2 linked regions of the Saccharomyces cerevisiae S288C genome follow. The protein of the gene in region 2 interacts with the protein of the main gene of each other region in a biochemical or structural test. Each region holds a gene or a part of one and is shown on either strand. Other genes may lie near its edges.

Region 1 (2,924 bases), on a different chromosome or scaffold from region 2:
AATTTGGAACGTGCCCCCGTTACTATTGTAATGGCATGCAGTTGCTGCCTTGTGGGTTGAGCGATACAGTTGGGAAACACACCGTAAGGTTGTACTGTCCCAGTTGTCAGGACTTGTATCTTCCCCAATCATCTAGATTCCTGTGCTTAGAAGGTGCATTTTGGGGGACAAGCTTCCCTGGTGTGTTCTTGAAACATTTCAAAGAATTGGAAGAGTATGTGGAAAGGAAAAGTAAAGAGTCCTACGAGTTGAAAGTTTTTGGGTTCAGGATAAATGATGAGGCAGTATCTGGTCCTAGAATGAAGTGGTTGAGACAATATCCATCCACGGAGGAGGACTGGGAAGAATTTGCCAAATGCGAGTTCGAGACACCGGCGGTTTAACCCTTGATTTATTTTCCTCTTTGCCCTACCATATACATATGTACTTTACCTATTTACATTGTTTCAGTTTTTATATCACCACTATTATTATTATTACTATTACCACTTTGGAGTACTTTAGTGATTCATTTCCAATTGTTTTCCTGGAGCCCAGTCTTTGAATGCCTTGGCCAAGTTGTACCAGTACTTTAGCTCCACGGTCAACTTCACTGCGGCGGCGTAATCCTTGTCATTGTAGCATTGTCCCAACTGGGCTTCAATATCTTGAATTCTTTCCTTGTTTTGCTTTTCAAGCAGCTTCACACCAGCTTCGTCGTCCATCTGGGATAATTCATCATGGATGTCTAGAACTTTCAATAGTAACTGTGGATCACTGGTAGTTACTTCATTTGAGGTCTGTTCTTGCGTCAAATCGATATTGCGCAAGAGTTTTAGCATATATTGTGACCTTCTAAGGGGATCTTTGAGAGTATGGTAAGCTTGATTAAGAGTTGATGACTGTTCACTACCTTGTTGGGCCATGTCTGGATGGTGCTGTGCTTGTAATTGCCTATACTCCTTCCTTAATCTGGATTGATCGATAGTCCAAATGGGTAGCTTTTTGGGGAAGGTCTTTGGGAACAGCTCGTAAAATGTAGAAGTGAATCTTCGTTGAACCAAGTATTTCAACATTGTGCTTGTGGGGCTTCTTGATACCTGTTTCCATTATCAGCCTCAGCCTTTAATTTCGCATCATCTTTTTAGTTTCCTTTTCTTTTTCGTTTTTTTTTTACCTATTGTTAAGAATTACGCTGTGAGTTTCATTGCTATTGTTACAAAAGACAAGATAGTCTCAAGATACAACTGAGAAGAAGCACAATTATGTCCGATAGATTCGTTATTTGGGCTCCCTCGATGCACAATGAACCTGCCGCAAAGTGTGGGTATTGTCACGGTAATAAGGGGGGCAACATGGATCAGTTGTTCGCATTGGATTCGTGGGCTCATCGTTATATGAACAAAATGGACGTTGTAAAGATTGAAAACTGCACAATTGGCTCTTTCGTGGAACATATGGATGTAGCCACGTATGATCGCATGTGTAATATGGGATTTAGAAGGTCTGGTAAGTTTCTTTATAAAGTGGACCCGTTGAGGAATTGTTGTAGGTTATACACCATTCGAACTGCCCCTCAAGAATTGAATATGACAAAGGAATTGAAAAAATGCATCAGCCGCTTTGCTACTAGAATAACAAGTGAGGACTACTGCCCAGCCGCTGTTGCAAGCAGTGATTTTGTGGGCAAAATTGTTAATGCAGAGATGAATTCTAAAACATTCTATACCCGATTTGAGCCTGCACTTTATAGTGAAGAAAAGTATCACTTATTTGTCAAATATCAGGAAAAAGTGCATCAAGACTACAATAATTCGCCGAAGTCCTTTAAGCGATTCCTATGTGATACGCCCTTTGGCCCTGAAGCGGTGTTGGGGACACAAGAATCATGGGAGCAGTTAAACAATTGGCAGCGAATGAAGCCAGGCGAGAAACTGAAGCATATGGGTCCTGTGCACGAATGCTACTACTATGAGGGTAAATTAATTGCCATCACTGTGTCAGATATCTTGCCCAGTGGTATATCTTCGGTATATTTTATTTGGGATCCAGACTACAGTAAATGGTCCCTAGGGAAGCTCAGTGCTTTGCGCGATCTTGCCATCATTCAAAGGACAAATCTGCAATACTATTACCTGGGGTACTATATTGAGGACTGTCCGAAGATGAATTATAAAGCAAACTATGGTGCGGAAGTACTGGATGTGTGTCACAGTAAATATATCCCATTGAAACCCATTCAGGATATGATTTCTAGGGGCAAACTCTTTGTCATAGGTGAAGAAGAGACGAAAGTTACTAAGGAGCTCTACCTCGTTGACTCTGAAACCGGAAGAGGGGAGGGATTTCCCACTGATAATGTTGTCAAGTACAAGAATATTGCTGAGGAAATATACGGTGTGGGAGGGTGTGCGTTTAAATCTGCAAATGAATCTGCATTGGAATTGAAAGAACTTTACGGTATACCGTACGAAGAGGAAGATTTAGATACCATCTACCATTTGAAAGAACACAATGGCCATGCTCCAAATGGTATTCCTAATGTGGTGCCGGGATTACTCCCGCTATGGGAATTGCTGGACATTATGCAATCTGGCAAGATCACTGACCTGGAGGGAAGACTATTTCTCTTCGAAATCGAAACGGAGGGGATTCGACCATTAATTAACTTTTATAGCGAACCTCCGAATGTCAAGAAACGTATTTGTGACGTGATACGGTTATTTGGCTTCGAAACTTGTATGAAAGCCGTCATTTTATATAGTGAGCAAATGTGAGCCTTCAACACACTATTCTAATAACAATCCTAATGTATAACATTTTTTAGCATTCAAACATTCTCACCATCGCGCTGAGATAATTTTATATAGTTGATGGAATAGTTTTGGAGGTGATTTATCCATTAAATACCTGATGCTTTTTTGTCTCCTCATCGCGTGAAAAAT
Region 2 (3,079 bases):
TGGCTAGAATTGGGCGGAATGAAAAAAAAAAACTATGTCCATCGCTTTACTAATTAGTGATCGCACCAAGAAAAACGAGCTGTACATTGCAATTGTACCTCTTTTTTTTTTCCTACTTAGAATCCCAATCGTAATTAATTCACTAAATTAACATCCTTAAAATGAAATTCGACAATGACAGTGAGAAGCAGGTTTTCGATAAGCTTAAAAAAGCGATTCCTGGTATTATCAAGGAAAAATGTGCAGGATACGATGAATTGTATGGTTACAAGTTGAATCCTGAAGGTCTTACACAAGAGGAGGTTGATAAATACTATGACGAAAAAATCGCCGATCGTCTAACCTACAAACTTTGCAAAGCCTATCAATTTGAATATAGCACCATTGTACAGAACCTGATCGATATTTTGAATTGGAGGAGGGAATTCAACCCATTGAGTTGTGCCTACAAGGAAGTCCATAATACAGAATTGCAAAACGTTGGTATTTTGACATTCGATGCAAACGGCGACGCAAATAAAAAGGCTGTCACTTGGAACTTATACGGCCAACTGGTCAAAAAAAAAGAATTGTTTCAAAATGTGGATAAGTTTGTACGCTACAGAATCGGGCTCATGGAAAAGGGTTTGAGCTTATTAGATTTCACCAGCTCCGACAACAACTATATGACCCAAGTCCACGATTATAAAGGCGTCTCCGTGTGGCGAATGGATTCTGACATTAAAAACTGTAGCAAGACGGTCATTGGAATCTTTCAAAAATACTATCCAGAACTGTTATATGCAAAGTATTTTGTTAATGTCCCCACCGTTTTCGGCTGGGTTTACGATTTAATCAAAAAGTTCGTTGACGAAACCACCAGAAAGAAGTTCGTGGTATTAACCGACGGCAGCAAGTTGGGTCAATACTTGAAGGATTGCCCATATGAAGGGTATGGCGGGAAAGATAAGAAGAACAATCTGACCAAGCAAAATGTCACAAATGTCCATCCAACAGAATACGGCCTTTACATTTTACAAAAACAAATCATCGAGGACGTTGAGTGATTTGTTGGCATGATCTAATAATAGTCTCTTATATAAACCCTATAATAATTTCTTATTTTTGCCTTATATTCAGGTAAATCACCATCTAACTGTATTATCTCTCACGTATCTTCACTTATATGGCTCAGAAAACACCGTACGAAACGAAGGGGCTGCGAAAATGTTTCTAGAAGGTAATGGCAATAATAGGGATACAGATCGATCAGATCCGCCTATATAAAAGACAACGCACCGAAGGTGAACAAGATCGCAGATAAAGGTATTTACAAGGGAAAAAAGTCAGCAAAAACAAGAGATAAGATAACAAGAAGAAGATGTTAAGGAGGGAAACTTCAACAATATACAGGACACACAAAAAAAGCAACAGTAGTATACTCAGGAGCCAGCGGGACCAGACTAGAGTGGATTCCTTGGTAGAGGAGTCTCCCATGGGCGATTTCGGGATCAATAACCAGCCTACACAGCCTGGCGTGATATACTACTTTGTAGAGCTGACTAATTTAGGCATACAGGAAAACACAAGCAGTAATAATAACAACAACAATAATCATGGTGACGATGAAAACGGCAGTCGATACGGCCACGGCAGCAGTCTGGGTGGAGACGTTCACTCTCGCCGTTGTTCATGAACTCCAGCATTATAAAGCATATCTAACAATACCATTCGGGTTATACTGAATAGCCCACGCACGGGTTCGGGGTTGTAACGATTATATGCATTTCATAACATGCCACTGTCAGTGGCGCCACGGAAGGATAGCGGGACTTTATCAAATCATTAATTTCTGTGCATAAAGTGTATAGTATATTCATATAGATATGTATATATATCATTGAATACAGAAATCTTCGGGTGTATACAACGAACATTCATCGGACGCCTTTTTTACTGCTATTGTTCAACAAAGTGGGTAACCCGGCATTCTTGCGCCAAAGTTTCCATTTTTATGCCAAATCCAGAGGATAAAAGCACTATTCTCATCAAAAGATGGAAAAGCTGTGAAAGAGTCAAGTTCAGAAGAAAGCGTTAAGAAAAATAGAGTACACGGGAGCGTTATGTCAGCCGATCATTCGAGAGATCCATGTCCTATAGTCATACTAAATGATTTCGGTGGTGCTTTTGCCATGGGTGCCATTGGTGGTGTTGTTTGGCATGGGATTAAAGGTTTTAGAAATTCGCCATTAGGTGAGCGTGGTTCAGGAGCTATGAGCGCCATTAAAGCGCGTGCTCCCGTACTGGGTGGTAATTTTGGTGTGTGGGGTGGTTTATTTTCGACTTTTGATTGCGCTGTGAAGGCCGTTAGAAAGAGAGAGGACCCATGGAATGCTATCATTGCAGGGTTTTTCACTGGTGGCGCTTTAGCTGTAAGAGGTGGTTGGAGGCATACAAGGAACAGTTCGATCACGTGTGCTTGTTTGTTGGGTGTGATTGAAGGTGTGGGACTAATGTTTCAAAGATATGCTGCTTGGCAAGCCAAACCTATGGCTCCTCCTTTGCCCGAAGCACCTTCCTCTCAACCTCTGCAAGCTTAGGCATGTAGACATTATATGAGCCATTTTTTCATCGTTGTTGGAAGTACCCTTATTCGGCATGTTTTTTGTTACATAAATGACGTATCGCACTAGCCTCCTTTACGTTTTTACTTTATTTCAGCCTTTTATTTCAAGATTACCAACCATTTCTCTCAACCATGTACATATTATATATTGAAAAAGTACCATACTTCATCTCTGAAGAGAAAATATCAACAAGCCAAAAGCTAGTGCAGAAACTTTATAATGTTACTTTATTAATTGTAATGACTATACGTATAAGGAAAATTAAGAAAAGGCAAAATTCATATTTATTTAGTATATCATTATGGCACCAAGCCGTAATAAAATGAAATGGGTAGTTAAGAAAAGTCAGACAAAATAACGATTTATTCTTCGACAATGTGAAGTTTATTGAACGCGCTTGTTGGCCCTTCTTGAACAGAATGAGTAACAGCAAAATTATTGGAGATGTCGCCAGATGTATTCTCCTTCCTTTT

What was found. The genes of interacting proteins can lie anywhere in the genome.
Region 1: the proteins of TIM17 (region 2) and JAC1 form a complex in vitro, tested with the Saccharomyces cerevisiae proteins (one study listed by BioGRID).

What each region holds. Positions count from the first base shown.
Region 1 is NC_001139.9:458,610-461,533, forward strand, and holds JAC1 (J-type chaperone JAC1), read right to left. Parts: upstream 1,056-2,924; coding exon 501-1,055; downstream 1-500. Other genes in the region: casein kinase 2 regulatory subunit CKB1, read left to right, coding at 1-383; ATE1 (arginyltransferase), read left to right, coding at 1,245-2,756. UniProt on the Saccharomyces cerevisiae protein: Co-chaperone required for the assembly of iron-sulfur (Fe/S) clusters in mitochondria. Stimulates the ATPase activity of its specialized Hsp70 chaperone partner SSQ1, to mediate the transfer of iron-sulfur clusters from ISU1 to GRX5.
Region 2 is NC_001142.9:144,999-148,077, forward strand, and holds TIM17 (protein transporter TIM17), read left to right. Parts: upstream 1-2,102; coding exon 2,103-2,579; downstream 2,580-3,079. Other genes in the region: SFH5 (Sfh5p), read left to right, coding at 162-1,046; ROQ1 (Roq1p), read left to right, coding at 1,361-1,675; IRC9 (Irc9p), read right to left, coding at 2,821-3,079; serine/threonine protein kinase YAK1, read right to left, coding at 2,969-3,079. UniProt on the Saccharomyces cerevisiae protein: Essential component of the TIM23 complex, a complex that mediates the translocation of transit peptide-containing proteins across the mitochondrial inner membrane.